2 linked regions of the Anolis sagrei genome follow. The protein of the gene in region 1 interacts with the protein of each later gene in a pairwise test. Links are inferred from orthologs where the notes say so. Each region holds a gene or a part of one and is shown on either strand. Other genes may lie near its edges. The genes, in order: POLI and REV1.

The links.
Region 2: the proteins of POLI (region 1) and REV1 interact in a two-hybrid assay, tested with the Homo sapiens proteins (2 studies listed by BioGRID). The link is inferred for Anolis sagrei from reciprocal best matches to the Homo sapiens genes POLI and REV1.

What each region holds. Positions count from the first base shown.
Region 1 is NC_090022.1:284,990,686-285,007,145, reverse strand, and holds the start of POLI (DNA polymerase iota), read left to right. Parts: upstream 1-9,679; 5' UTR 9,680-9,687; coding exon 9,688-9,904; intron 9,905-15,211; coding exon 15,212-15,337; intron 15,338-16,460. UniProt on the Homo sapiens protein: Error-prone DNA polymerase specifically involved in DNA repair. Plays an important role in translesion synthesis, where the normal high-fidelity DNA polymerases cannot proceed and DNA synthesis stalls. Favors Hoogsteen base-pairing in the active site.
Region 2 is NC_090023.1:102,772,100-102,788,928, forward strand, and holds the start of REV1 (DNA repair protein REV1), read right to left. Parts: upstream 6,299-16,829; 5' UTR 5,917-6,298; intron 2,861-5,916; 5' UTR 2,704-2,860; intron 1-2,703. UniProt on the Homo sapiens protein: Deoxycytidyl transferase involved in DNA repair. Transfers a dCMP residue from dCTP to the 3'-end of a DNA primer in a template-dependent reaction.

The sequences.
Region 1 (16,460 bases):
CAGCAACCCCGGCGCCTCCGCCTCCTCCTCCTCCTCCTGCTCTTGCTGCTGCTGCTGCTTCCGTAACTGAGCCTCGGAATCCGTGTCATCGGCGCTCGGAACCTCGGGGTCATAGAGCCCGCGCCGCGCACTGAGGAAAAGGAGGAGGAGGAGGGGAGAGAGAGGCAAAAGAGGCCGGGCCCGGCGTCGCCCTTTAAGGCCGGCTCCTCCTCCAACTCCGGCTCTTCCCCGTTGAAGCCTCCTCTGGAAAATAAAAGAAGAGAAGGAGCGCACAAAGCTGAGCGGTACGCTCCTTCGGCAGCGCTGTTTACGCAAGAGAGACTTAGCTAATAGAGAATACAGAAGGAATGGAAAGAGTTCTTTCATGGTGAAACCCTTAGGTAAAGGGAAAGGTAAAGGTAAAGGTTTTCCCCTGGCATTAAGTCCGGTATCCAACTCTGGGGGGTGGTGCTCATCTCCATTTCTAAGACAAAGAGCCGGCATTGTCCGTAGACTCCTCCAAGGTCATGTAGTCGGCATGACTGCATGGCACACCGTTACCTTCCTACCGGAGCGGTATCTATTGATCCCACATTTGCATGTTTTCGAACTGCTAGTTTGGCAGAAGCTGGGGCTAACAGCGGAAGCTCACGCCACTCTCCGGATTTGAACCACCGACCTATTTAGGTCAACAGGCTCAACAGTGGTTTAACCCACTGCGCCACCGGGGTCTCCTGAAACCCTAACCCTGAACCATACTGTAAGCCTATGCCTAACTCTAACACAAACCCTAACCTCTTACCCTAACACTAACCCAAACCCTTACCCTAAGCCGGAACCGTACTGTAAGCCTAACCCCTTACCCAAACCCAAAACCTTACACTAATCCAAACTCTTACCCTGAACCGTATCGTAGCCTAAGCCTAACCCCTTACCTTAACCGTTCGCCTAACCCTAACCGAAAACCTTACCCTACCCTAACCCTTACGCTAACCCAAACCCTAAACCTTGCCCTAACCCTTACCCTAACATTACCCTTACACTAACCCAAACCCTAAACCTTACCCTTACACTAATCCAAACCCTAAACCTTGCCCTAACCCTTACTATTTGTGTCTCTTTTCTATCCTTCCTTCGCTCTGCCCGCTCTCACTTCTGGACCCAGCTATCTTACTATCACCATAGGAGTGATGTGGCATCTCCATAACACTCGGAGCTTACAGACAAAGCTATCATACTATCACCGTAGGAGCGATGCAGCATCTCTGTAATGCTTGCAGCTTCCAGACTCAGCTATCATACTATCACCGTAGGAGCGATGCAGCATCTCCATAATGCTCGGAGTTTCCAGACCCAGCTATCGTACTATCACCGTAGGGGCGATGCGGTGTCTCCGTAACACTCAGAGCTTCCGGACCCAGCTATCTTACTATCACCGTAGGAGCAATGCGGCGTCTCCATAACGCTCGCAGCTTCCGGACCCAGCTATCGTACTATCACCGTAGGAGCGATGCAACATCTCCGTAATGTTCACAGCTGATCCAGCTATTGTACTATCACTGTAGGAGCGATGCGGCGTCTCCATAACACTCGGAGCTTCTGGACACAGCTATCGTACTATCACCGTAGGAGCGATGTGGCATCTCCGTAATGCTCGGAGCTTCTGGACCCAGCTATTGTACTATCACCGTAGAAGCGATGCGGCGTCTCCGTGGTGCTCGCAGCTTCCAGACCCAGCTATCATACTATCACCATAGGAGCGATGCAGCATCTCCGTAATGCTTGGAGCCTCCGGACCCAGCTCTCATACTATCACCATATGATAGCTGGGTCCAGAAGCCCTGAGCGTTACGGAGATGCCGCAAAGGCAGCTGTGAATAAGGGAAGAGAGGGAGCGGAGTGAGAATGGGGGAGAGTGAAGGAAAGATAGAAAGAAGTGGATGCTTAGGATAAGGGATAGGACAAAATTTAGAGTTTGGCTTAGGGTTATGGTTAGGGTAAGGGTTACGGGTTACGGTTAGGGTATGGTAGGATTAGGGTAAGGTTTAGGGTTTGGGTTAGCGTAAGGGTTAGGGTAAGGGTTTGGTTAAGGAGTTAGGGTTAGGCTTACGGTACAGTTCAGGGTTAGGGTAAGGGTTTCACCATTAAAGAACTCTCACATTCCTTCTATATTATCTGTCTCCGGCCTGGCTTACATTAGCTAAGTCTCTCTTGCGCAAACAGCGCTCTCGAAGGAGCGATGCAGCATCTCCATAACGCTCAGAGCTTCCGGACCCAGCTATCATACTACTACCCGGTTAGGGTACGGTTTAGGGTTAGGGTGTCTCTGTATGTCAGAAATAACTTGCAAAGTTACCAAAGAAATGCAAACCCAGCTTATTAAAAAAGTGTTACTTGTGAATTATTTTCAGTGTCTTGCTCTGCAATGCTGGAAATCTGCAAAAGATCCACTTTGAGGGGAGAAATTCTTACCAGTGGAGCAATGCTTGCCCTTCGCCTGCCCGGCATCCTCATACCCAAACACACTTTTCTAGCCATTCTTTTCTAGTTTAAAGGATTGTGCTGTGACCATTATCTTTTTGCTTTATTACCCCAGGAATAAACTTTTTTAAAAAGTCACCTCTTCAGCTCTAGTTCAGCAGTTCTTTGTCATCTGTGAACGGAATTTCCCAGCTGTTCTGGAAATCACATTCTGCCTGTTTATATGAATGAACTAATCAATGCAGTATATCATCCAAAGTTCTGGAACTACTGAGCGTGGGAGAAGGAACTGAAAACGAACACATTCAAGGAAGTTAGCAAAGAGTTGCCTTTCATGTGTTGTTGAAGGCTTTCATGGCTGGAATCACTGGGTTGCTGTGAGTTTTCCGGGCTGTATGGCCATGTTCCAGAAGCATTCTCTCCTGATGTTTTGCCAACATCTATGGCAGGCATCCCCAGAGGTTGTGAGGTCTGTTGGAAACTAGCCAAATCGAGTTTATATATCTCCAGGGTGGGAGAAAGACCTCTTATCTGTTGGAGGCAAGTATGAATGCTGCAACTGATAACCTTGATTAGCATTGAATAGGCTTGCAGCTTCAAAGTTTGGCTACTTCCTGTCTAGGAGAATCCTTTGTTCGGAGGTGGTAGCTGGCCCTGATTATTTCTTGTCTGGATTTCCCGTGTTTTTGAGTGCTGTTCCTTATTGACTATCCTGATTTTTTTTTTTAGTTTTTTAATATTCGTAGCCAGATTTTTTTTGTTCATTTTGCTTCCTGCCAAGCTTTGAAGCTGCAAAGCTATTCAGTGCTAAACAAGGTGATCAGTTGCTACATTCACACTTGACTCAAGCAGACAAGAGTTCCTTCTCCCACCCTGGACATTCCTCAGATACATAAACCCCACTTACCTAGTCTCCAACAAATCTCACAACCTCTGAGGATGCCTGCCATAGATGTAGGCGAAGCGTCAGGAGACAATGCTTCTGGAATATGGCCATACAGTCTGGAAAGCTCACAGCAACCCAGTTGTCTTTAAGTTTCATTTTAGATGTGTTTTAAAACTTTTGGGTCCATGCTCTTAATATAAGTATAATATTTTAAATAAAAAATAAATAGTTGTGAGAAATGACAAAAAAAATTGATATAGGTAAGTATGGCGCCTGTATCCACAGCATTTGCATTGGATACACTAAAAAAAAAAGGAAATCAGTAAAGCCAATTTAAGGGAAGGACTTCTGGCCCAAGAATACAGTCATACCAGAGGATTTATACAATGCCTGGAGAGAACATACTTTGCTGAATGCGGATAAATGAAACTGCATGTATCTGCTCCATGGGTGCAAGTGTTGTACTATGTATCTTTATGATGTTAAAACTTCATTAAATGTCAAAGGCTTTCATGGCCGTAATCACTGGGTTGCTGTGAGTTTTCCAGGCTGTATGGCCATGTTTCAGGATAATTCTCTCCTGATGTTTCGCCCACATCTATGGCAGGCACCCTCAGAGGTTTTGAGGTTTGTTGGAAACTGGGCAAGTGAGGTGGGAGAAAGAACTCTTGTCTGCTTGAGGCAAGTGTGAATGTTGCAATTGATCCTCAGAGTTTGCCTCGCTACCATGGCTCACAACCTCTGAGAATGCCTGCCATAGATGTGGGTGAAACATCAGGAGAGAATGCTTCTGGAACATGACCACACAGCCCGGAAAACTCACAGCAAACCAGTTCATTAAATGTTGATAGTTGAAAACTTTCGGTTTCTGTTTTTTCCTGAGAGTGTCATAAAGGCAAAGTCCATGTTTGCCAAAGGCATAGCTTGAAACTCCATGCCTTCCTCTTCTCCAAAACTCAAATTCCTAAGAAAGCCACATAGCAGAAGTACAACAGAAAGAAGGGTAGGGACTCAGATGTTTAGAAAGTTACTAACCATGGACTGTAGGCTATGGATCACAGTTCCCAGTATTCCCTCCGGCCAGTATCTTTACTGGGAAAATTCTGGGACATGTAGTCCATAGGCCCAGAGCACTGTGGCGTACTATAAAGACTGGGGTGGAAATCACGTAGTCCTCCAGAGACTGCTCAGGCATTTCTCCAAGTCATTACTCACTAGTGGCTATGTTTGTCAAAGAGATTGGAAGTGCATCTACACTGCTGAAGTATCCAACGTTTTTGCTTATCCAATGTTCTGCCAGCTCACTTATGTTGGATAAGTGAGACTCTACTGTATCCTGTTTTACCCAACACCAACTGCTAGGCATGACCCCAACCACCATCAACTATGGGACATTACAAGACCATGTAAAACTACCACTCCCACAATTCCATAGCATTGAGCCATGGCAGCTAAAGAGTTGTCAAATTGCATTAATTCTACAGCGTTTCTCAACCTAGGGGTCGATACCCCTGGGGGGCAGTCGTGACGGGGGTTTCATAGGGGTAACCAAAGACCATCAGAAAACACATATTTCTGATGGTCTTAGGAACTCCTTTGGCAGAGAAGGCTAAAGATCTCTCCACCTGTCTTTCTCTTCCTTTTTGGAACCATATGACAAATCCTTCCATCAAAAGCCCTTCTCCTGCTATGATTGTGGGGAAACTATAAATCCCAGCAACTACAACTCCCAAATGTCAAGGTCTATCTTCCCCCAAATGCACCAGTGTTCACATTTTGACATACTGAGTACTCGTGCCAGGTTTGGTCCAGATCCATCATTGTTTGAGTCCACAGTTCTCTCTGGATGTAGGTGAACTACACCTCCAAAACTCAAGGTCAATGCCCACCAAACCCTTCCAGTATTTTCTGTGGGTTATGGGAGTTCTGTGTGCCAAGTTTAGTTCAATTCCATCGTTGGTGGAGTTCAGAATGCTCTTTGATTGTAGGTGAACTATAAATCCCAGCAAGTACAACTCCCAAATGACAAAATCAATCTCTGCCCGAACCCCACCAGTATTCAAATTTGGGGGTATCAGGTATATGTGCCAAATTTGATCCAGTGAATGAAAATCCATCTTGCATAACAGGTATTTACATTACAATTGATAACAGTAGCAAAATTGCAGTTATGAAGTAGCAACAAAAATAATGTTATCGTTGGGGGGTCACTACAACATGAGGAACTGTATTAAGAGGTCGCAGCATTAGAAAGGTTGAGAACCACTGGTATAGATGCACCCTGGGACAACATACGATTTCTACCTTTAATCTCCCTTGTTACGGTCCTAAAGCAAGGATAGACGACGTGTACTTGCAATGCAGATATAGTTGGACTGCAATTCCCATTATCCTTCATTATCTACTCTTGTTTGCTAATGGAGACAACTCCAACAACATTGGTGAGCTACATGTGACTTAACTACTGGTACAATGTGATAGAGGTTGCATCCCTTAAACTGGAATGTAGCAGTTGGAGGAGATGCCCAAACATTTGCTAACAAGTTTCAACATGCACACCAGGCAGCAAAATCTTGTTGAATTAATTAAAAATATGACTCAGGAAACATACAACACATCATGCTTTATTTTAAACATGGGAGTTTATTATTTCAGTTTATGATTTCAGCTCATCCAGCTACATCCATAGATAATCTTCTTTACATTTATTTTCCAAAAGACCAATGTATTTTTGGACTAATTGCTCTAGACTCTCAGTTAACCAGAAAACAATCAACCAGAACTCTCAAGCAACAGGCAAAAACATCAAAGAATTTTTTTTGTCATGTCAGGAGCGACTTGAGAAACTGCAAGTCGCTTCTGGTGTTAGAGAATTGGCCGTCTGCAAGGACGTTGCCCAGGAGACGCCTGGATGATTTGATGTTTTTATCATCCTTGTGGGAGGCTTCTCTCATGTCCCCACATGAGGAGCTGGAGCTGATAGAGGGAGCTCTTCTGCCTCTTCCCAGATTCGAACCTGCGACCTGTCGGTCTTCAGTCCTGCCGGCACAGGGATTTAACCCACTGCGCCATCGGGGGCTCCTATCAAAGAAATAACAACATTTAATAAAAATGCCATTTTTATAATATAGTAAAACAGTATATTAATCTTTATCTCTATTTTTCTTAATTTGCTTTTAAATACTGTATTTCAGTATCAATATCAAGTCAATACAGAGTTTATAATATGGTATGGTACATCTATTTTTAATAGTAACTCACAAGGAACTAGAAACTACATCTATCTAGCACAGTGTTTCTCAACCTGGGGGTCGGGACCCCTGGGTGGGGGTCACGAGGGGGGTGTCAGCGGGGGTGCCAAAGACCATCGGAAAACACAGTATTTTCTGTTGGTCATGGGGGTTCTGTGTGGGAAGTCTGGCCCAATTTTATCGTTGGTGAGGTTCAGAATGCTCTTTGATTTTAGGTGAACTATAAATCCCAGCAACTACAACTCCCAAATGTCTATCTTCCCCCAAATGCACCAGTGTTCACATTTCGACATACTGAGTATTCATGCCAGGTTTAGTCCAGATACATCATTGTTTGAGTCCACAGTGCTCTCTGGATGTAGGTGAACTACAACTCCAAAATTCAAGTTCAATGTCCACCAAACACTTCCAGTATTTTCTGTCGGTCATGGGAGCTCTGTGTGCCAAGTTTTGTTCAATTCCATCGTTGATGGAGTTTAGAACACTCTTTGATTGTAGGTGAACTATAAATCCCAGCAACTACAACTCCCAAATATCTAGGTCTATTTTCCCCCAAATGCACCAGTGTTCACATTTCGCCATACTGAGTATTCATGCCAGGTTTGGTCCAGATCCATCATTGTTTGAGTCACAGTGCTCTCTGGATGTAGGTGAACTACAACTCCAAAATTCAAGTTCAATGCCTACCAAACACTTCCAGTATTTTCTGTCGGTCATGGGAGCTCTGTGTGCCAAGTTTTGTTCAATTCCATCGTTGATGGAGTTTAGAACACTCTTTGATTGTAGGTGAACTACAAATCCCAGCAACTGCAACTCCCAAATGACAAAATCAATCTTCCCCCAAACTCCACCAGTATTCAAATTTGGGCGTATTGGGTATTTTTGCCAAATTTAGTCCAGTGAATGAAAATACATCCTGAATACTAGATATTTACATTACGATTCATAACAGTAGCAAAATTAGAGTTATGAAGTACCAATTAATTTTATGGTTGGGGGTCAACACAACATGAAGAACTGTATTAAGAGGTTGTGGCATTCAGAAGGTTGAGACCCACTGATCTAGCATCTCCCAATCCCCATGGGTGACGGCTGACTAAGAGTCTACTGTATGTATTTCAACTGTCTTCTTCAAGTGCCACATACAATCAAATAGCAGAAATTCCATTTACTAGACCAGAAAAGAAATGGCTAAGATCTCTTAAGTCCCAAGGAACACAGAAAATGAGACACAGCCCAGATCCCGGCCATAGAAGGCTTTAAAGGTCATCGCCAGAGTTTCAATTGTTTGGAGACGCAATGGCAACCAGCCCAGTTGTTGCAACAATGAGGTTCTGTGCTCCAGCGGTGACATAGGCAGGCATGAATTACGTGTGAAATGTAATTTATGTCTGCGCAATGTGCATGTCGCTAACAGGATGTTAGGCCTATGAGTACAAATGCCAGATACTCTGACGGAGGGGAAACATTCCATCCATTTCGCACTAAAAATTCTCTTCCGAAAAGATTTCCTGTCTCTCCAGATTATTTCTGTTTTTATACTAATGGGAGCATTTTTATTGTAGAATTAACACATTTCAACTGTTATGGCTCTCAATGCTATACGAGGGTTGAATGAAAAGTAATGCCTCCACCATGCTTTGGTTACATCCCGTTTAGATTACTGCAACGCTCTCTACGTGGGGTTGCCTTTGAAGACTGCCCGGAAGCTTCAACTAGTCCAACGCTGCTAACAAGAGCGGGGTACGGGGAGCATACTACTCCTCTGTTGCGCCAGCTCCACTGGCTGCCAGTTAGCTTCTGGGCACAATTCAAAGTGCTGGTGTTAACCTATAAAGCCCTAAACGACTCCGGCCCAGTTTACCTGTCCGAACGTATCCTCCCCTATGAACCATCAAGATTGCTAAGATCGTCTGGAGGGGCCCTGCTCTCGGTTCCACCGGCCTCACAAGCACGTCTGGTGGGGACGAGGGACAGGGCCTTCTCGGTGGTGGCCCCTCGACTCTGGAACCCCCTTTCACTGGAGATCAGAACGGCCCCCTCTATCTTGACGTTCAGAAAACAGGTGAAAACTTGGCTCTGGAAACTGGCATTCGAAGAATGAGTCAAGTTCTGTGATATGGGTGGATGATTTTATGATGACGACTGACCATTGTCATTATATGTTTGTATTTTGTTTTTAATGTCTTAGTGTAATCTAGAATACGATGTTTTTAATGATTGTTTGTAATATTGATGTTGGAAACCAGCCTGAGTCCCTCGATGGAGGTGAGAAGACTGGTATACAAAACTGCTAAATAAATAAATAAATAAATAATACATTTCTGAGTGATACGAGGATCGTCCTGAATCAATCTGTCAACCTTTTGCTTGTGAAACTTGGTGGTTTCTGTCACAGGACGTCTAACTCTTTGTTTGTCATGCAAGTCAGATGTTCCCACCTCAACATCTTTAAACTTACTCGCCCAACGATGCACAGTACTCACATCAACATAATCACCATACACAGCTTGCATTCTCCAATGAATTTCTTTTGGAGTGACACCTTCTGCTGTCAAGAATTCAATGACTGCACGTTGCTTAAGTCTGCGCAGGGTTCCATAGTTCACCTTTAACAACACAACTGTTCAATGCTAAGGCTTCCCACTAAAATGGAACTGTAGAGGAGAGTTTACTGAGCAAGCCAGTACCTGCCGCATACCAGTACTGCCATCTGTTGAGGAGCTATGAAGGTGGAGGCATTACTTTTCATTCAACCCTCGCAGATCAGGCATGGGGGCCAACTTGGGCCCTCCAGGTGTTTTGGACTTCAACTCCCACCATTCCTAACAGCCTACCGGCTGTTAGGAATGGTGGGAGTTGAAGTCCAAAACACCTGGAGGGACCAAGTTGGGTCATGCCTGGATATAAAGCCATGGGAGTTGTAGTTTTACAAGGTCTTTAGCCTCCTATGCCAAAGAGGGCTGGTGCCTCACCAAACTACAACTCCCAGGACTCCATCGCATGGATCCAGGGCGTTTTAAGTGATGTCAGAGTGCACCTAAAGAAAGGGCACATTCTCATTCACACGAGACGCCCGTGACACGCGTCATGGCCTGGGCGGAGAAGGGCCTGCCTGAACGGTCTTCACTTGGTCCGTCGCTCCTCCTTCCAGGGAAGCTGACCTCGCCATTGGCCAAGACCAGGGCAGGCGAAGAGAGGCGGTGTTTGGTGCCCGAAATGGAGGACGAGGAAGAGGAGGAGGAAGAAGCGGCATGGTTGCGCCCAGACTCTCCCTCCGGTGCTGCGAGGAATCCTCCCCCTGCCTGTAAAGACCCTCGACTCCTTTTAGCAGCCTGGGAGGAGGATTTGGGAGTGAAAGGCTCGTGGGAACCGAGGCAGGAAGGCACGGAAAGAGCGCACAGGAGGCGCCTGCGTTTGTTTGGCTGACTGGCAACAAGCTTCCCTTTGTGTTGCAACTAGCTTCCCTTTACACCTGGAACAGGCCTGCGCAAACTTTGGCCTTCCCTCCAGGTGCTTTGGACTTCAACACCCACAATTTAGGAATTGTGGGAGTTGAAGTCCAAAACATCTGGAGGGAAGACCAAAGTTTGCCCAGGCCTGGTGTAGAATCAAGCCAGTTTGATGCCACTTGAACTGCCAGGGCTTATGCCAGTGATTCTCAACCTTCCTAAAGCTGTCACCCCCTCAATACAGTTTCTCATGTTGTGTTGACCCCCAATCAAAAAATTATTTTCATTGCTACTTCATTGCTGTAATTTTGCTACTGTTATGAATTGTAATGTAAATATCAGATACTCAGGATGTATTTTCATTCACTAGACCAAATTTGGCACAAATTTCCAACATGCCCAAATTTGAATACTGGTGGGGTTGAGAGGGGATTGATTTTGTCATTTGGGAGTTGTAGTTGGCAGGATTTATAGTTCACCTACAATCAAAGAGCATTCTGAACTCCACCAACTATAGAATTGAACCTAACTTGGCACACAGAACTCCCATGACCAACAGAAAATACTGGAAGGGTTTGGGGGGGAGTGACCTTGAGTTTTGGAGTTGTAGTTTACTTACATCCAGAGAGCACCGTTGACTCAGTCATGGATCTGGACCAAACTTGGCATGGATACTTAATATACCCAAATGTGAACACTGGTGGAGTCTGAGGGGAAAATAGGCCTTGACATTTGGGAGTTGTGGTTGCTGCGATTTATAGTTCACCTACAATCAAAGAGCATTCTGAACCGCACAAATGATAGAATTGGGCCAAATTTCTCACACAGAAACCCCATGACCAACAGAAAATACTGTGTTTTTTGGTGGCCTTTGGTGACCCCTCTGACACCCCCTCACGACCCCCCCAGGGGTACCGACCCCCAGGTTGAGAAACACTGGCTTATGCTATGGGAGTCTGTGATGTGTACGGCCAGGGATCTACTTTTGCTGGGGTTTGGGGCAGTTTTTCACATTCACCTAGGTCTTATGCCCCACACCCTAGCAAATGTGAACCTGCAGAGCACAGTCCAGAGTGACTCCCAGGTGTTTGCATGTGCAGCAATGCTCCGAGCTCAAGATGCTTGCCTGTTCTTAAAATGAAAAGCACACATCTGGATTTTAGATGGATTAGGAATCGGCTGTTTTTCCTGTAATAGGCAGTAAGAGCACCTAAAGCTTTGGAGAACTTCTGTTCAACCATTTCAAAGCTCCCTGCTTGAGTGGTGATGGCATGATCGTCACATGTTGGCCCATGCCTGATGTAGAATCAATCCAGTTTGATGCCACTTCAACTACCATGGCTCATGCTTTGGAAGTCTGTGATGTGTACTGTCAGGGATCTACTTGTGCTGGGTTTGGGACACAGGTTTTCACATTCACCTGGGTCTTATGACTTGCACCTAGCAAATGTGAACCTGCATCTTCAAAAGGGACTGTATCCCCATCCAGTGCTGGCTTGAGATGCTTGTCTGTTCTTAAGATAAAAAGCACACATTTGCATTTTAGATGGATTAGGAATCAGTTGTTTTTCCTGTAATAGGCAGTAAGAGCACCTAAAGCTTCTGAGAGCTTCTGTTCAACCATTTCAAAGCTCCCTGCTTGAGTGGTGATGGCATGATCGTCACATGTTGGCCCATGCCTGGTGTAGAATCAATCCAGTTTGTTGCCACTTCAGCTACAATGGCATATGCTATGGAAATCTGTGATACGTATGGTCATATCTACTTTTGCTGGAGTTTGGGGCACACATTTTCACATTCACCTGGGTCTTATGCCCTGCACCCTAGCAAATGTGAACCTTCATGTTCAGAAGGGACTGTAACCACATCCAACATTGGCTGAATTCGTATTCTCATCAGTCTGCCTTTTGACTGACCACGACTGCCTTGATCTTACCTGGATTAAGTTTCAATTTCTTCATCCTCATCCAGTCTATTACTGATGACAGGTACTGGCTTGGATCCAAGTCAAAAGCAAGACAAATTGTGTTAGACTAAATCAGTCCTACCATATTATTTATTTATCATGTCAGAAGCAAGTTGAGGATACAATTAAAATGCATCTAAAAAGACAAACAAGGTTAAAAAAAACTTGGCATTACACTAAATGTCCTTTGACCAGAAGCCGGCCACTTGGAGTACCTCTGGTATTGCCATGAGAAGGTCGTCCATTGTAGGTAGTCTGTGGTTTGCTCTTTTCCAAACTTGTATGTTGTGGACTCCATTTTGTAGCCCCATTTCTTAAGGTTATCTCTGCATCTCGTGGTATTAGAGAGCTATCTGTTCAGCACCTTCCAGGTCATCTTCTCTTCTATGTGCCCAGGAGGGAGTCTCTCATTTGGTATCAGCCACTGATTGAGGTTCCGGGTTTTAGTCTGCCACTTTTGCACTCTCGCTTGCTGAGGTGTTCCTGTGAGTATCTTTCTCGATCTCAGGAGGCTGTTTTTTTATTTAAACCAATAGCATGCTGGGCCGGAAATGTCAATGCCTTGGTCCTTTCATTACTAGCTGATACTTTCCGACAGATGTCCAGTGGTGCAATACCGGCTAAACTAGTGGTTCCCAACCTTTGGTTGTGATTTGGATTTCAACTCCCAGAAATCCCAGCCAGCTTACCAGCTGTTAGGAACTGTGGGAGGTGAAGCCCAAAACACCTGGAGGCCCAAAGGTTGAGAACCACCTTTGAATTCCTGTTTTCAGTCTGCCTTTTGATTAACCATGGCTGCCTTGATCTAGATTAAGTTTTAGTTTCTTCATACACATCCAGTCTATTACTGATGACAGGTACTGGCTTGGAACCAAGTCAAAAGTAAGACAAAGTATGTTAGACTAAAACAACCCTACACTGACTTTATTTTATCCTACTGTTTTTTTTAAAAAAAACCTTTGATTTCTTGTAGCACGGCTGCTAACTCCAAAGAGTTTCTGAAACTCAATGGGCATTGCAGCTAGTGCCCATAAGGACTAATAGGGCAGGATGGCGGATACATGGGAAACCCAAGTTGATAATAGTGCCACCAGATCTTTCTGGTTTGGTACTCATCCTCTCTTGCAATGAGACCACAGTTGTTGTTTTACGTTTGCAAGCAGGCTTTGACATACAGCAGCCCTTTGAGTTTGGGAACTCCAGGAGCATCAGTTATCAATAAACGTACTCTGGTGTTGCAAATGATGGCTTCATTTATTGAAACCCATCCACCTCCACATTTGCAGATTTAAATCTTGTGTATTTGATTATTTACGCATTTGACAAATATCTTCTCTTTTGGTCCATCATAGTGTCTCTTTGGTCAGACTGATGGAAAATGACCATGGAGTTGCACTAGAAGACCAATAGATAATCTGGTTCGGGCCCAGGCTATTTGACTAATTGTATCTCCGCCTATAAACCAGCAGAGGCTGGATGGCCATCTGTCAGGGGTGATTTGAATGCAACATTCCTTCTTCTTGGCAGGGGGTTGGACTGGATGGTCTCTTCCAACTCTTTGATTCTATGATTCTATGGAGATGGTGGTCAGTGGAGGAGGCCCTGCTCTCGGTCCCACCCCCATCCTAAGCATGGCTGGTGGGAACGAGAGAGAGAAAGGGTCTTCTTTGTGATTGCCCTCCCCCCCCCCCCCCACACACACACACCTCTGGAACACCCTCTCTAAAGAAATAAAGATGCCCCCTTCCCTTCTCTCCTTCAAAAAACAACTGAAAACTTACTTTTGCTTATTAGCATACAGAGAGGAGGAGGATTAGATGAGGATATGCCTCTACTACACCTCTGATTGAGATCTGTTATTGTTCTCGGGCTTTGTAGACCCTGTCAGCCTCATTAACATCACTGGCCACATAACCTACTTACATATTTTAGTGAACGTTTATTGGTCTCTGTAAACTGATGTGGATGTTTGATGTTCTTGTTTTAGGTTAAATATAATTTAGCTGATAGGTTGCATTTTGTTTAATTTTTGTGTCATGTTATGTTTTTATACAGTATGTTGGGTTATTTTGCATTGTTATGTTTGTATTTGTTGTTGTATTGAGGCATTGAATGTTGGCCTTTTGATTGTTGGAATCTGCCCTGAGTCCCCTTGGGGAGATAGGGTGGAGTATAAATAAAGGCTTATTGTTGTTGTTGTTGTTATTATATGGCAGTGTAGAAGGGGCCTCAGATGAAGGTTTTTTATTTGTAGTTTTTCCACTTTCAGAGGGGTCCTGTTGACCAAAATCCCAATTAAAGTGGAGGTCTGCTATATATCCATGTGCAATAACCTGAGATTAGTTATTTGGCTTCTAGTGCAAGATCTGACTTGATTTCCTCACAGACTCATTCTTTGCCTTTCTGGTAGTATTATATCTGTTGAGGTTTCCTCTAGTATTACATTTTAGATGAACACAACTACTGTAGTTCAACTCCTTTACTCTAAATGTCTGAAGGGCAGTTTCTCATGTTGGTCCCAAAAGCTTCCACAATATTGTACTTGTTGTTCATTCATTCAGTCGTCTCCGACTCTTCGTGACCTCATGGACCAGTCCACGCCAGAGCTCCCTGTCGGCCGTCACCACCCCCAGCTCCTTCAAGATCAGTCCAGTCACTTCAAGGATGCCATCCATCCATCTTGCCCTTGGTTGCCCCCTCTTCCTTTTGCCTTCCACTTTCCCCAGCATCATTATCTTCTCTAGGCTTTGCTGTCTCCTCATGATGTGGCCAAAGTACTTCAACTTTGTCTCTAGTATCCTTCCCTCCAGTGAGCAGTCGGGCTTTATTTCCTGGAGGATGGACTGGTTGGATCTTCTCGCAGTCCAAGGCACTCTCAGAACTTTCCTCCAACACCACAGCTCAAAAGCATCGATCTTTTGATATTGTACTTACTTTTCTGTATTATTGAGGGAGGGTAGGTAACCTGTGTGTATTCTAGTCTTGGCATTTCAGTGCACAGTCTGCAATATACTGGTATACCTAGTGAGATATGAAGATTTGTGGGATTGGGTCATGGGTGGGAAAAGCATAGCCCATGGGTCACATACAGTCTTTGGGGCCCCAAATTGTGCCCCCTAAAGCATATAAAAGCCCGCCCACCCCCAAATTTAATTTGTAATTGGGGTGATTTCTGAACTATTACCTTTCATTGTAGCTTGTCATGGCAAATGGGTGTCAACAGAAGGCTCCCAGAACCGAATCATTGTGCATCTGGATTTGGACTGCTTTTATGCGCAGGTGGAAATGATCTGCAACCCTGAATTAAAAGGCAAACCTTTAGGTAAGCTTACATTTTGTTGAATATTCTTCCAAAGGGCACCTCTGTCTTTCCAGGAGAATAATTATAGAATCATAGAGCCAGAGTTGGAAGGTACTCCCAAAGACCATTTAATACAGTGTTCCTCAACCTTCCTAATGCCGCGGCCCCTTAATACAGTTCCTTATGCTGTGGTGACACCCCCCCCCCCAAACCATAACATTATTTTGTTGCTGCTTCATAACTGTAATTTTGCTACTGTTATGAATCATAATGTAAATATCTGATATGCCGGATGTATTTTCATTCACTGGACCAAATTTGGCAATATTATTATTATTATTAATAATAATAATAATAATAATAATAACACACTTTATTTATAACCTGTCACCATCTCCCCAAAGGGGATTTGGGGCGGCTAACATGAGGCCAAACCCAAAATACGCCCAAATTTGAATACTGGGGCAACTACAACTCATTTGGGAGTTGTAGTTGCTAGGATTTATAGTTCACTCACAATCAAAGAGTATTCTGAATTCCACCAATGATGGAATTGAACCAAACTTGGCACATAGAACTCCCATGACCAACAGAAAATACTGGAAGGGTTTGATGGGCATTGACCTTGACTTTTGGAGATGTAGTTCACCTATATCCAGAGAGCACTGTGGTCTCAAACAATGATGGATCTTGACCAAGCTTTGCACAAATACTCAATATCCCCAAATGTGAACACTGATGGAGTTTGTGGAAAATAGACCTTGGCATTTGGGAGTTGTAGTTGCTGGAATTTATAGTTCACCTACAATGAAAGAGAATTTTGAACCCCAGCAACGATTGAATTGGGCCAAACCTCCCACACAAAACAGAAAATACTGTGTTTTCTGATGATCTTTGGCAACCCCTCTGACATCCCAACCCCCAGATTGAGAAACGCTGATATAATACAATTCTCTGCTAATTTAAGAATCCACAGCCAAAGCATCCCTGAAAGATGACCATCCAACCTTTGCTTTAAAACCTCCAATGGAGGAGTGTTCACCACCCTCAAAGTTGAACTATGCCATGTTCAGACAGCTCTTAACATCTTTAAATTATTCCCAAGGTTTTAATAATTTCTAAGCTATTTTTATCTCCTTTCCAG
Region 2 (16,829 bases), on another chromosome or scaffold:
GACCAGAAATGTTTTGATATTATTATTTTATTTTTATTTTGGAACATTTCTATTTGCCTATACATACATAATGCGATGTCTTTATATGAATCAACATCTCCTGCCATTTCTATCTGAGGATTCATGCAAAACATCTATCAGGACCTTGAACTCCTTGATTGTAAGTAGGGATTACAACAACCCACAAAGATGAGCAGGGCAGAATGAAGGTTGTGTCACTTCTCTATCACTTTAGTAATTTGATATTGACAGCTTCCAAATCCATGATGGAAAATGGATCAATTATGGTTTCCCCAGGGAGCCAAACAAGAAAGTGTAGTCTTGCCACAACCTGCCTGATATTAACCCCTTATAAAGTCAAATAATCTAAGCTCCATAAACAAGAATTCAGATGAACGGTATAGAGATGGCCTTCCATGACTGTGATTTTTATATACCATATCCTAAAATATCTATTAAAAATTGCTTATTTTATCTAATTCTTTTACAGTTGAAATCATTCATCCTACAAAACATTCGAATTATGCATGCTTATTATTTTTCCCAATGCCTCCATGAAGTAGGCTATACTAAATAATTTTTTACCAGATCTCCACCCCAGTCTTGGATAAGATTTTTCTCCCTTCTTAGTTACTTTGGAAAAACAAATTCTATAAATCCCCTAAGAAAAATGAGAAAAATCTTATCTTTATCTTGTGTCCACCATTTGTCAAACATATAAATATGGTCCCTGGTTTACAGTCTGTTCAATTTCAAAAGCATTTACCACAGCATATGAACTTTCAGCAGCTTTTAAAGAGGTCTTCTAAGTGCCCAATTGAGAAAAATTGTGAGCGACTACAAAAAGATTATGTATGAAACTAGAAGGTAAGCAGAGTTAAGTCTGTTTAGTATTTGGATGAAGGACCACCAATGAATGTCAGGTCCTGTAAGCTAAATTGCAGAGTAAGGAACTGGGAATGTCACCTCTGAGTATGTCTTGCCTAAGAAAATCCTATGAAATTCCTGATATCACTATAATTTGACAGGTTACTTGAAGAAAGACAGATACACAAATGCAGAGGCTCTCCCACATTCATTCTGTACATCATACTGCTGGGATTTCCCTACAGAAATTGAGGAATGTCCACCAAGTCAAACACTGGTTGGAAAGAGGTTAGTGCTATCTTTCACTGGCACTGTCAATGCTAAGGGAGGCCAGAAAAGGTGGGTAGATAATAAATAGTAAAGAAATAAGAAAGACTTCAGAACTTATTTAGTTAACATACCACTTTATATAACATTAGGTAAATTATATTTGTTTCTGTTATGGAACACAGCTTTATTTCTGTTTATGTGACATAAAATCAGCAGGTATTATCTGCAGGTACTCTGCAGTCCAACAGGAGGAAGAAACACTAAGGGTATGAGCAAAAAGAATCTGCGAACCCCACCTCCTCCAAGATGAACTGAACCACCTAAACTGGGCTCTACAGGCCAATGATACTCCACCTCAGACATCAGAAGAGCTGCAAGACCAAGAACAAGCCACAAGAGTAAAGATGAAGATCCACCCAGAGGAAAAGTGTTCTTGACATACATCAAGGGAACCACTGACCGCATAGGGAATCTGATGAGGAAACACAACATACAAACCACCTACAAACCCACCAAGAAAATTCAACAAATGCTACATTCAGCAAAGGACAAGAGGGATCCTCTCACCTCTGCAGGAGTCTACCGTATTCCGTGCAGCTGTGGACAAGTCTACATAGGGACCACCAAACCCAGCGCCCAAACACGAATCAAGGAACATGAAAGGCACTGCAGACTACTTCAACCAGAGAAGTCAGCCATAGCAGAGCATCTGATGAACCAACCTGGACACAGCATATTATTTGAGAACACAGAAATGCTGGACCACTCTCACAACCACCATGTCAGACTACACAGAGAAACCATTGAAATCCACAAGCACGTGGACAATTTCAACAGAAAGGAAGAAACCATGAAAATGAACAAAATCTGGCTACCAGTATTAAAAAACTAAAAAATTACAACAGCAAAAGAACAGAGAGTAAACAATCAGGCACATCAAATCACTCTCAACAAAAAATTCCCCCCAGCCACTTCCAAGCCATTAAATGCTAATCAAGGTGGTCAGTTGAAACATTCACACCTAGCTCCAGCAGACAAAAGTCCTTTGTCTCACCCTGGTCATTCCACAGATATATAAACCCATTTTCCTACTTCCAACAGACCTCACTACCTCTGAGGATGCTTGCCATAGATGCAGGCGAAACGTCAGGAGAAAATGCCTCTAGAACATGGCCATATAGCCCAGAAAAACCTACAACAACCCACTAAGGGTATGGTTGGGAGGAAGCATGCAAACCATGAAGAGAGAGGAAATGCCATAGCTTTTACTGGGTAAGTCACCTTTCGTGTGAACGAAAGGTGACATATGGGGCAAAGGACACTAAGGTGTTATAGAAAAGAGTAATGAATGTCTTCCTCCCCTTCTTTTCTTTTCACTTTCCAGTCACATTCTAAGGAAAGATTGGGGGAAGATAGAGAGTTGATTGGGTTTGTGTATAAAACATCAAAATCTACAGGGGTAATTTTGTAGCCAAGTACACTTTCATAATTTGCTGTATATGTGGATTTCTCTTCTTTTCCATACGAGTAAAAGGCAAATCTATTATAATTAATAAAACATGTCACCTCCATTTTGTGTGCTTTTGAGATTGGAAGGATCATCTCCAAAAGGACCATCAATCAGAGCTCACAACTATTTTTACCAAGTGAACTGTAAACCTTGAGTAGCACTCCTGTTATCCAGAATTTCATGTTTCTATTGGGGGTGGGATTACAGGCAAGTCTGTAGGAAATAACAGGTGGAAAGTACAATTGTATTATTAACAGTGGCTATACACAAAACTTGTTCTAATTATTCAAATATCCTGAATGAGATAAATGAACTATCACAGAATGTGTGAGAAGAATATATTATCCCAGGAGAATCTGCTAGTTTCAAAGTTGACTTTGTGAATGAACTGCAATGATCTCTCTCACATTTCTTCATTTTACAACATTTTCCAGAACTGTGAACCTCAACTGCCTACAGTTGGAGGCTGGGTCGCAGTGGTCCTTCACTGTGCACAGGCTTTCTTGAACAAAGAAGACTCCACATGCACTGATTCTAGAAAACTTAAATGTTATTGGGGTGAATCATGCAGCTGAGATCTCCTTGCTCAGAGAGGACTGGTACACGTGTGGAACATCACACAACTCACATTCAAAGGAAGGCATACCTGGCTTAAATGTATTGTGCTACATTGCTAGTTCTGATCAACATATCCCTACATGGGATCCCATTCCAAATAACACCATTTCAGAAGCAGGACAATGTTTGTGCTTAAATACTTTAAAGCTTATCTTTACATAAGATTTACACAAGTAAAGGGGTGACTATGCTACAGTATTAATGTCAAGCTGTTTTTAAAATTACAGTTATTTTTTTTAAAATGGCATGCTCATTTGATACCCTGGAAATCCCAAATACTGAGAATGTGACAATGCAAAATATTCATTGAAAGAAGAGATTGAACCAAGAATGGAAAAAGCAGCATGTAATTTCACTGACAGCTTCCTTAAAAATAATGACAGGTTAGTACTAGGGTTTATGCCTAAAGACAATCTTATAGAAACATAAGGAATTTAAGTCTCAATGAATACAATGGGCCTTGTTTCTCAGTAAACCACACAAAGCCCAGCAAATAAAAGATGGGGGCCTCTATTACAGTGGGAAAAAGGACAATGTCAAGGAAAAAGTCTATTTATTTATTTACCCTATTTATACCCCATCTTTCCCTACCCTGAAGGGGGCTCAAGGTGGCTTACATATAGGCAATTATTCAAAGACAATATAGACAACAATGTATGTGGAAGCCGTTTTCTTTGTTTTAACAAAGTTAAAGTAAACAACAGTGTCCAGATACTACAGCGTCTAATACATTGTGGTTTCGATCCAATCTATGAATCTACTTCTTGGTGAGTAAGCAAAAAGGGAATGGACCAAGATATTTGTCTGATCTTTTTGTCCTGAAAGAATAATTCACATTAATGCTTTATTTACCCTCTTGCTAGAACAGCGGTTCCCAACCACAAGAACTAAAATATGGTCCGCGGCTTCACCGTTACTACACTGTTGCAACAAGAGTGACTAGTCTCACAAAACCCTCTTATAGTGGTGAGGCTATATGGTTTTCTATGGGTGAGCAGATGGCATTCGTTCTCAATCAGAAACTAGAGCTGATGTGGTCTATCCAATGCAATTTTCTGGATTGGCACTCCAAATAACCAAACTGAAACTTAAGTTGACCGAAAACTGATTCATAACCCTTTTGGTACTAATGTTGGAGAGTGGTCTCTGGACAAAAAAGATTGGGAGCCACTGTGTTAGAAGGAAGGGACTGAAATATGCAAACCCATAGGCTCCTAAATGCAGAGATGATTGACTTGTGCTCTTATCCTCCAAGACCAGCTCCACAGAACTTCTAACCAGAGTAATGACTATTTTCTCCTTACATTTTCCAGCTTAAAAATCCTTTGAAAAAATCCTTTACTTAGTTTGACACCTTCAATTTTCCAAGCACAGTTATGATATCCTGTTTTATGTAAAGTAGGCTCGTCATCAGAGGATATGGCGCCTTGGTGGTGCAATAGGTCTAACCAGGCATGGGCAAACTTCGGCCCTCCAGAAGTTTTAGACTTCAGCTCCCACAATTCCTAACAGACTCAGGCCCCTTCCTCAGCCATTTAAGTGCTTGAGGCTGTTAGCAATTGTGGGAGCTGAAGTCCCAAAATACCTGGAGGGCCAAAGATTGCCCATGCCTGGGTTAAACCCTTGTGCCGGCTGAACTGCTGACCTGAGGTCGGTGGTTCAAATCTGCAAGATGGGGTGAGCTCCAATCTGTCAGTTCCATCTTCCCATGTGGGGACATGAGAGAAGACACCAGATGGTAACACATCTGGTGTCCCCTGGGCAACATTCTTGCAGACAGCCAACTCTCTCACACCAGAAGCGACTTGCAGTATATTCTCAAGTTGCTTCTGATGCACACGCACACCCTAAAGGATAATTCAGGTTTTACAGTGGTCTTAGAATTAGCCTTCCATATCTTAGAAATGCCAAGCCAGGCTTGATTCAGGAGAGCCTAGAGAAGAGGATAAAGATTTGTAACAACAATAACAACAACGCCTCCTAAGCCTCTTCCAGACAGCCCTATATCCCAGAACATTAAGGCAGAAAATCCCACAATATCTGCTTTGAATTGGGTTATCTGAGGGCCCTTCCACACAGCCCTATATCCCAGAATCTCAAGGCAAAAAAATCCACAATATCTACTTTGTGCCGGGTTATCTGAGTCCACACTCAGATAATGTGGGATTTTCTGCCTCGATATTCTGGGATGTAGGGCTGTGTGGAAGGGGCTCTAGACTCCATTAAAAACCCGCACTTCCTGAGGTGGCCCAGTGCACCACTCCAGCTGCCTGTCAGTCCAGGCAGGGAGGCTGCAGGCAAAGGTTGTACGGAGGAGCCACGGGCACCGATCGGCCGCCATGGTTCCCGGGACGTGCCCGGGTTGCAGACGACGCGCCCGGGGGCGGAAGGCGCTCTCTGCCTGACCGCTGGGCCACCCTGCCTCCTCCGTCCCGCCTTATGTCTGAGGCGGTCCTCCCCTGCTTTGACACCTCCATGCCTCTCATATACACACAAGAGCACACGATTATGGGGCGGCCGGCCCTGGGGAAGGCGCGAGGAGGGCTTGGGGCCTGCTCCGCCTCAGGAGCGGCCAAACGGGAGTCGAGCTCCGCCGCGGTTTCCCTCCCTCCTTCCGTCCTTCCTTCCTCGCTCCTGTCAAGGCGCCTCACCTTTTGCCGCGTCCCTGGGGCGTCGCCGCCGCCGCCTTCCGCGGATCCTCACATCGCGTCCCGCCTCTTTCCTCCTCTCAGGCGCCGCCGACAGCCCTCTCGGCCGCCTCCTCCCCCTCCCCCTCCGCCGCCGACCTTCCTTCCTTCCCTCAGAACACACCGCGTCACGCACGGCGCGCGGAGGAGAGCCTCGCGCCACCAACCGCCTTCCCTCCCTCCCTCGTCGCGCGCACCAGCTGCCGTTTTAGTCCTGGAGAGAGAGACAGAGAGAAAAAAGGAAGAGCGCGCGCCCCCTAGTGGCTCGCGGGCGCTACCAACGGCAACCGCGAGCGAGAGAACTTCCCTCCTTTTTTTTTTCAACCTCCTCCCCTATTTATTTATTTCTTTATTTTATTTTGAAAGCGGGAAGGAAGGAAGGAAGGAAGGAAGGAAGGAAGGAACCCCCTCTGAAGCGTCCCAGCGTCACGTGACGTCTGGTGAAGACGGACAAGCAAGCCACGCCCCCGTGTCCTTACCTCGCTCGCTTCCCTTTTCCTTGCCTCCACTGCAGCGCCCTCTAGAGGGAGAGAGGCGGTGGCGTCCTTGTGACGGCGCTGCTTGATCTCCCCGGTCGCGAAGGAAGAGGGCCAGCCCCGCCGCCGCCGCACTGAGGGGAGTGCTATATATAGACCCGATGGCTATAGATACACACTGCGCACAGCGACCCCTAGCGGGGCCCGGAGAACTGCAGCCGGAGAGAGTCTGGCGCGGCTTCATTCGGAATACTGTTTGGGGGCGGGGCTTCCTTCCTTGGAGGGTGACATCCCAAAAAGGCAGGGCTGGACTAATCCTTACACAAAATAAACCCGTGCAATAGGGCATCAAATAAAGAGGACTTTTGCCATTGCTGGACTTACCTTGCAAAACTGCAAATGGTGAGTAGAGCCAGGTTAAACAACAACAAAAGATCATAAAAGAAATCAGAAGACATTTCCTTCTTGGGAGGAGAGCAATGACCAATCTTGATAAATTAGAGAAGAGTAGAGACATCACACTGGCAACAAAGAAGATCCGCATAGTTAAAGGAATGGCAGGCATGTAGCCGGGGGGGGGGGGGGGGCTTGAGGGGCTTCAGTCCCCCCCCCCCATTCTCATGGTGGTCCGCGAGAAGGCCTTACTGGTACATTATTTAAACTGTTATGTTTATTCATATCATGATCTGATCACCATGCTCAATATATCCCATGTGCATGGGGGTTTTGGGGTAACGATACAAAAGGTTTGCTAGGGTAGACCCTCTTTCACTCAGACTCAGCCCCCTTCCGAATCAAACTCAGCCCTCCCCCCCCACTCTCCCGAATCAAAATCCTGGCTACAGGCCTGAGGAATGGTATTCCCATAGTCACCTACGGATGTGAGAGCTGGACCTTAGGAAAGGCTGAGCGAAGGAAGATAGACGCTTTTGATACTGGAGGAAGAATCTGAGAGTGCCTTGGACTACGAGAAGATCCAACCAGTCCATACTTCAGGAAATAAAGCCCGACTGCACATTGGAGGGAAGGATATTAGAAGCAAAGTTGAAGTACTTTGGCCGCATCATGAGAAGACAGGAAAGCTTAGAGAAGACAATGATGCTGGAGAAAATGGAAGGAAAAAGGAAGAGGGGCCGACCAAGGGCAAGATGGATGGATGGCATCCTGGAAGTGACTGGCTTGACCTTGAAGGAGCTGAGGGTGGTGATGGCCAACAGGGAGCTCTGTTGTGGGCTGGTCCATAAGTTCATGAAGAGTCGGAAACGACTGAATGAATAAACAACAACAATCATAAAAGACTTTGCAATTCGAAAAAGTAGGAGAATGCCTTTAAAATATAAATAAACACTGACACTATTGTGTTGTCAAAGGCTTTCATGGCCAGAATCACTGGGTTGCTGTGAGTTTTCCAGGCTGTATGGCCATGTTCCAGAAGCATTCTCTCCTGACGTTTCTGCTGCATCTATAGCAGGCATCCTCAGAGGTTGAGAAATGTTAGGAGAGAATGCTTCTGGGACATGGTCATACAGACCGGAAAACTCACAGCAAAACACTGACACTATTCTCTCAACTCCCACCATTCCTAACAGCCTCAGGCCCTTTCCTTTCCCCCCTCAGCCACTTAAGCCTAAATTTGACCATGCCTAGTCTAGATGATTAGATGCAATCAGGGAACCCTGAGGCCCCATTTACACTGCCATACAAAACCCAGATTATCCCTCTCCCATGGCATTATATGGGTCTATGCTACTCTATAATACAATTAATCTGAATTTTAGAATGCAATATGGATGGGGTCTGAGCAAAGCTGTAGATGCTAAGATGATTTGGAGGTCTCTCATTCAGAAGAGAAATTGTATTCAGCATCCTGTTTTGTGAACATTGGTCCACTTCATCATGTTTCAAGGTGGGTGTTTTTGCTAATTATTTGAATGCCTCCAGTTTAGTGGATCTCCTAGAAACCACAAACTTGCCTGTTTCAGGGCAATTGTATCAAATGACTCAAAGCCTGTATTAAACAATGCAGAATTATTTCTAAAACTGTGTGCATACAGAATAACAGTTGCAGTTTTTTTTTGTTCACACATATAAATGTCAGCTGTATTCAAATATAATTTTCATTTGATTGCCATATATCATACAACATTTGGTTATATAACTATACATGCACAACTCTACCATTGACATCTTTGACATCTTTGAAGGTTATCCAACAGCAAACCACAAATTGACCTTTGACAAGTTGGTGACATTTCAGTTTGTAGATCTCAGAATCTGTTCCCAATTCACCAGTTACATGATTGTTTCAAGTAGTAGGTTTGGGGAAAGGGCCTTCCTGAGTCCTTGGAAAACTTCTGCTTGTTGGAAAGATAGACCAGCATATTTTCTTTTTCATGTCAGGAACAACTGGAGAAACTGGAGAAACTGCAAGTCACTTCTGGTGTGAGAGAATTGGCCGTCTGCAAGGATGTTACCCAGGGGACACCCGGATGTTTTACCATCCTGTGGGAGGCTTCTCTCATGTCACCACATGGAAAGATGGAGCTGGCAGGTGGGAGCTCACCCTGCTCCCCGGATTCAAACTGCTGACCTTTCGGTCAGCAGTTCAACCAGCACAAGTGGTTTAACCCAGTCCCCAGGTGTTTTAGCCTACAACTCCCATAATTCCCAGCCAGTTTACCAGCTGTTAGGATTTCTAGAAGTTGAAGGCCAAAACATCTGGGGACCCACAGGTTGAGAACCACTGGTTTAACCCATTGTGCCACCGGGGGGGGGGGGGGTGCTTCTACAGACCAGCAGTAATCTGAATTAATTTAAGGCAGGTTTGCTGTTATTGTAAATTGCAGCAACAATATCACTGTGCCTGTTGCCACATTAAATGAAAGCTTTAGGAGGTCCCTGCACAACATGGTTATCTTTGTCTTTCCCCTCTCCCATGGCAATTGGACACTGAGCGGAAAGGTGGCGATTCATCATTTGGGTGTGAAGACTTACTTTGCACAAATGACCACTGCATGACTGTAGCACTTTGGTGGCTGAGGTGCAGCCATGCCATCTTCTTCGGGCCCTTTCACACTGTACAATTATGACACTATGGTTCCCCTTTAACAGTCATAGGTGTACCCCATGGAACCCTGAGGTTTGCAGTTTGATGAAGCAGTAGAATTCTCTGACTGAGAATGCCAAATACCCCTCCCTAAACTGCAAATACCAAGATTTATATGATGTTGCCATGGCAGTTTATTTATTTATTATTTACAACATTTGTATCCTGCCCTTTTCTATCCTGAAGGGAACTCAGAAAGGCCAGAATGGCCTTATACATCAGCAACAATGTTGAATCCTAGTGCTATAATCCTATAACGTGAGAAGACTCTCTGATTGGACTGGATTCTTCATATTTGATATGTCCAAATTATAGCTCAGTGCCTCTTAAAATGATCTGCAGCACCTACAAATTATAGAAGCAAAGATGTTCTCAAGGATAAATCTGTTTCATTGTCATGATTCTGAAATGCTAACAGATGCCTAATCAGAAAGCTAAATTATCTGATCTGTTCTGTGATTTGTGTACACATGGATTCCTGGATTAAATAACAAAAGCAAAAATAATAACACTGCAGAGTCTGCGTTTAGAGTCAATCCTGCATGTGCATTGATCGATAGCATTGACAGCTGACTATAATGGGTCGAGAGATCACATTAGTAGGATTGTGTATAACACTAAGGTTGGTCTGCTCTGCTCACATGTCTGAGACAAGACAGTACTGCATTGCAGGCACAGCCTAGAGTTTGCATGCAACGCCAGGCCTCTGCTTTGCCGCACTGTACCTGCTTTATCGGTATCATTCATTACAGGACGTTCATAGCTGCTGTCTGCTACAGTGACTCACTTTAGACATGGATACATTTGGGGATTAAAGTGCAAGGATAATCTATGTTTAACACACTGTTGCTGTCAGGGAAAGTAAAGCACGAGGGATGTCTGCTCTGGATGCAACTGGCTTTTACTGACATCTAATGGGCAGAGAGAGAGTTTGCAGGGAGCAAACGTTTAGAAAGTCAACAAGAAAACAACATAGTAGCTTATACTGTAGAATCAGTTATCAACATAGAAAGTTTCAAATTCATTTTGGAATATGCTATTGTGAGTGTTGGTGTGATTTTATTTGAGGCAACATCAGATCATTGTTACAATTGCCACTGACTCTTGCAGAAGGATGTATTTAATGTGTGGGGAAAAAGCATCCCAGGAACTGTATGGGTTAGCAAAATGTATGAAGATATTTCTAGGCGCACCAAGTCCTCATGGTATCTGGTGGCTTCTCTATCAACAGTACAGTGAATCTTCTGTGCATTTTAGTGAGAACTGTAAATAAGCTATCCAAAGTTATGAACACAGGGAAAGGGAAGCATTTAATTCTTTGAATAGCTTATTTAAAACCTAGACTTAGGGCAGTTTCAGACAGCACTAAATCACGGGGGCAAAAAATCCTGGGACTTCAGAAGAGGTCAACATACAGACCTGTTGGTACTGGAATTTCTGCTTCTGTTGTCCAGACTTGATGCTTTGTTGCAAGATTTAGAGCAGTGGTTCTCAACCTGGGGGTCACGACCCCCAGGGGGGTTGTTTGGCCATTTTCCAGGGGTTGCGAAGGCACCTTGGTTAGCCCCGCCCCCTCTTCAAAATGGCTGCCAAACAGCCAGGTACTCCAGGTCGGCTCCTCCTCCTCCTCTTCCCACAGGGCTGCATGGAGTCAGGAGGAGGAGCTTAGAGGCAAAGGCACACAAGGGAGAAGGTACACCATTTTTTGAGACCTTCGACCCTCGCCCCCTGGTGAGCTCGGAAGGGGTGGGGGTTAAGCAGAAGGCTCCCCATATGGGCTGGCTCTTGCTGTCCAATTTTGATCCAGGTCCATCATCGGGGAAGGTCAATTTCTCTGGTGTGGGTGAACTACAACTCACAGAAACAAAGGTCAGTTCCCCCCAAAGCCCTCCAATAATCTCAGCATATCAGTATGTGTTCCAAGTTTGGTCCAATTTATGGTAATTGTTGGAGTTCAGAATCCCAAACCTCTCCAGTGTTTTCTATTGGTCATGGGAGTTCTGCAGGCCAAGTTTGGTTCAATTGCATTGTTGTTGGGTTTCAGAATGCTCTTTGATGGCAGGGGAACTATACATCCCAGCAACTCCCAAATGCCAAGGTCTATTTTCCCCAAACTTCACCAGTCTTCAGATTTGGGCATATTGAGTGTTTGTGCCAAGTTCTGTCCAGGTCCATAGTTGTTTGGGTTCACAGTGCTCTCCAGATGTAGGTGAACTACCTCTCCTGTAATTCACTATCAATTTCCCCCAACCCCCTCCAGTATTTTCTATTGGTCATTGGGGTTCTGTGTGCCAAGTTTTGTCCTGGTCTGTAATTCATTGGGGTCTCAGTGGTCTGTTGAAGTCAGAGCTGCATTGGATGAAGGTACTGCAGCTCTCCCACCACTGCACAATCAAACAGCAACACACACTTTCAAGCCAGGAACAGAACTTTGTCATTATTGACACTTTTTAGAGCCTGGCTGCTTGGCCATTTGTCCAGAAAGATTTGGTTGTGTACTTGTGACATCAAACAACAGGGTGCTGTTCCTGGGTTATATATGTCTGTTCCTGATTGCAATTCTTGTGAAAAGATGTACAACATTGACTAGGGAGCCACAATTTTGTTGTGGCCAGAGAAAAGGTGCCCTCCACACATTTCATGAAGTATCTTGCACACAAACAAAGTTATTGCCTTCTACTCAAGTATCACCTTCATTCTAGGAACCAACAAATCAGGAACAAACATCTAAAACCCAGGAACAAACCCAGATAAAAAATCCCGTGATTTCAGATTGCAGGGACATACAGACATGCGAAGATCTGCATATTTGGCTCAAAATCATGATATTCCCACTCCTGAAAATCTCATGCTTTTTGCCTCTTGTAGCAATTGCTTTCGCGTTTACAGGGAACAGCATCTGGTCCCCTTTCTGTTTGCTGCGGAAGCTCCTGGGATAAAGGTATTGTCTGGACGAGTCCCCAGACTAATATCCAGGAAAGATTTACTGTCTCACAGACATGGAAGGCTACTTGGAGGCTTATACATTACCTGTTTTTACAGTGTAGATATTTTTAATCATCACATAAAAACACTTATTGGCTGCTTGAAGCTTGACAAATTGGCACTTATTCCCTGCTCAGGAGCCAGGTAGACTTTGCAGCAGAAATCCAGCTTGTTTTGATGGGTTAATTGTTCCTTGGAAGAATCAAATTTCCTAGGAAGAACCCAAGGAATGTAGCTGACATGGAACAGATGTTTACCATGCAACAAGGTAACTCAATGAGCTGAAACCAATTGCATTATCTATGCAACCTTTAATTGTGTCTGTAAAGGAAATCCAAGAGTCAATGAGTTGCATTGCTAGCCTGTATATAGATCACTGAATTAAAACCTGGGGCTCTAAAAGAGGGTTACAGCAACTGTGAATGCTTCCAAGAGAGAGCCTTTTGTCTGCCTGGATTTCTCCGCTAGAGTCGCGTTAACCTATCAATCATTGGCATGAAAGATTTGGAATTTCTACTGGAATTGTTGCCTTTGCTTTCACCTTCTGATTTTCAATTAGAAATTGAAAGAGGCTGTTGAGCTTCCAATTGTAAATGATGGTTTGGTCGTAGTCAGTTTGTTGTTCATTTGCTCCATGCAGCTACATGAGATTTTTTGCTTCAAATTACTATACAATAGGGAATGTTATAGTTGAAATGAGATAGGGCGATTTTTCCTGATTATACAAAGGAGATAAATGATTGGAAGAGACAATTTACCAAAGCAAACATCCCAGAAAGGTAATTCAATTTAAAGTATCACATTAAGTATCTGATTATATTTTATGTCTTTGGCTCTGGCAGAAAAATCTTTTCTTACTAATCTTAAAACCAAGCCCAAGGCTGAACTTCAGGGCTCCACACCAGTTTTTAGTTAGTTTTTTCACAACCAAACCGATATTATTGTTTACTGAATTAAGTTACTCTCAGCATAGCAGACAGCCGTTTCTAGTCTCAGATTTCAAACGTATGTGTAACACTGTCTAGAAACATTTGTAACATAGACCTCACCAGCCCAATTTTTGGAGGCTATTTATATTTGTATCTGTAAAATGACTGACATTGCATTCCCGCAAGAAACACATTTGCTGACAAAGAATGCAGACAGCTTCCAGAAAAATTAGATTGGCCCCTTCCACACATCTGAATAAAATCCCACATTTTTTGCTTTGAACTGGAATATATTGCAGTTTGGACTCAGATTACCCAGTTCAAAGCAGATATTGTGAGATTTTCTGCCCTGATATTCTGGGTTATATGGCTATGTGGAGGGCCCTATGTTACAAATGTTTCTAGACCACATAAAGGCATGATACTCCTAATGCACAAACATTTTTCTATTTCAGTACAGTGGGCAATAATAGACTTAGGTAGACATCCTTTATTTTACTTGTAAGATATTTTGAAAATTTTATTGTTCAGATTAATGGTTATGGGCCTAATAGTGGTACACTAGGGATGTTTCATAATTCTGTTGATAATCTTGTTGATATAGAATACAATTATTGGATTACTGGTAATGATTTTCATGACATTTTGGATATCTTGCTAGATAAAAATACATTTCCATCAAGAGAACATTCTTTAGTGACAGCTATTTTACAGGCATACATGGGTTACTATAGTTTAATTGCTGCATGGAGAACTGTATACCTAGGAGACAGGGAGTATACTTTTATTTCTTTGGTCCACTCTAATTGTTTCAGATTGGATCATTTTTAAATTTCTACAGCTTTGGTTAGTAATGTAAACTACATGCAAAACAGATTTCTTAAATAGCAGGTCATACATGGGTCGTCTATAATTGCTTTCTTTTAATGTTCCTAAACCTTCTAGTCCACCACACCAGATGGATAGGAAGCAAAGTAACCTCTGCTGAAGATGTGGCAGGCACAAAGAGACATATTTTCATTTATGGTACGAATGCCCCCAGTTGAAGAGTTTTTGGAACAATATATTTATGGAAATAGGTAACATTATAGAACTAAACATCACCCCAGATGCTAGGTTAGCATTACTAATGGACACCACAAAGTTGAATTTAGAAATGGAAAATAAAGATTTGGAGGTTATTTTACTCACAGTGGCAAGAATTATAGTCACAAGGAATTGGAAAATAGTAACCAATTTCATGCTGGAAGTATGGTATGGGGAGATATGGAATGTAGCCTTAAATGATAAGCTATCAATGGAAACGAGGGATCAGTTTTTTATTCATATTGGTCGGTTTTTATTAAACATGTTTTAGAGAGTGAAAAAAGAAAACAATACAACCTTGTTGGTCAGGAATTTTGCGTATTGCATTTGTTTAATGGCTGACCCATTTAGGTCTTGGTGGTGGTGTTATGTGTTTGTAAAATGTTCATTGTTTCATGTTCTGTTTACACTGTAAGCTGTTAATGTATGTAAATAAAAATTATACATAAAAACAACCTTCTAGTCCCTGGCATTTTAATATTTTGCTTCTCAGTGATGAGCAGTTTAAGGGTGAAATATCAGCAGATCTAATGAAATGTTTTAAAATGAATGGAGACACTGTGAATTCATATGCTATTCAATGGGAAGCATGTCAAACCTACATTCAAGGCAGAATATTTGCTTATTCTTCTTATAAAAAGATTTGAAAATAAAAAAGGGAATTATTGAAAAAACAGTTGTATCTCAAAATGCCATTTCTCCATCTGAACAATTTTACTAGCAAAAAGCTAAATATGAATTTAATAATATTATCTAGCAACAAACATAACTTGTTTTGACATATCTACAATCATTTTGGGAAAATGGGGAATGTCCCAGGAAGATTCTAGCACATGGTCTTAGGCATCAGCAATGCAATGTTATTTCAGTTGTCAAAGTTGAAAGTAATAATGTATATACATTGCCCAGTTTTTGAAGTTTTATGATGATCTTTATAGCTTTGATAATGAAATTCACGAACAAGATATGGAGGCTTTCTTTCCTCATATTGACCTTCCACACTTTAGCATATCATAGCAACAACTTTCAAAAAAAAATCCTTATATTTAGAATACATTATCAGGCTTACAGCAAATGTGAAAAATGGGAAGTCACCTATTCTTTTTTTAAAAAAAATAATCTTTATTGAAAGTTTCTTTATATTACAAAGCATGTGATAGAGAAAAAAAGCCAAGCAAAACAAAGGAAAGAGAGAGAGAGAGAGAAAAGAAAAGGGAATAGAGGAAAATAAAAGTAGGGGATGAGAGAAAGAAAGGGGAGAGGAAGATGTAACAGAGAAAGAAAGAAAAAAAAGAAAAAAAAGAAAAAAAGTGATGGAAGGGATAGAGCTAAAAACAAATAAAAATTGGAGACAGGTGGTGTATGTCTCACTCGTTGACTTCCTTCATATCTTCCAAGTGGGTTTTCCTTTTCCTTCTTCCGTCCTTAATTTCTTTTCTATTTTCTCTTCTACTTATCCTTCTGTGTTATTATTTATCTGGTCAGTATAATTTGTCACCTTTGTCCAATCAGTTTCTTTTATTGCGGTTCCTTTATTTTTAGATATGTTAATCTATCCATATTTCTGATGTCTAATACTTTTTCTATCCAGTCCTTTATTTCTGGGATTTCTTCTTTTTTCCAAAGTTTCACGTAACACATCCTTGCGGCTGTATTCAGTAGGAAGAGAAGTTTATCTGTATTTCTTTCAGTTTTTGAATCAAATATTCCTAGTAGAAATACCTCTGGTCTGAATAACAATTTCACATTTAAGATTTCCTGTGTTATTTTATAGATTTTTCTCCAGTATAATTTTGCTTTTGGGCATGACCACCACATGTGGAAATAAGAACCTTCCATCTTCCTGCATTTCCAACATTTTATATTTATATTTTTGTACGAATTATTCAATTTTTGAGGGGTCATGTACCATCTATGTGCAACCTTTAGCCAATTTTCCTTTAGGTTTATTGCATATGTGTATTTAATCTTTGTTCTCCAGATTTTTTCCCAGTCTTCTTTTTTTATTGTTTTGCCCAAATTTTCGTTCCATCTTTTCATATATTTTTTCTCTCCTCCCGTTTCTGAGTTCCATTCTGATAATTTCTTGTATAATTTTGTTATTATTTTTCTGTCGGTTTTTAATATCTTATCCCAAAAAGTGTCTTGCTCTTGAAAGCCTTGTCTTCTGTCCTTCTTGTAGCACTCAGTTATTTGTCTGTATTGAAACCACGATATTTTTTTTGTTTATCATATTCATTTCTTGTTGGGTTTTCATTACTAACTCTCCTTCTTCTTTTTTTAGTAGTTCTTTAT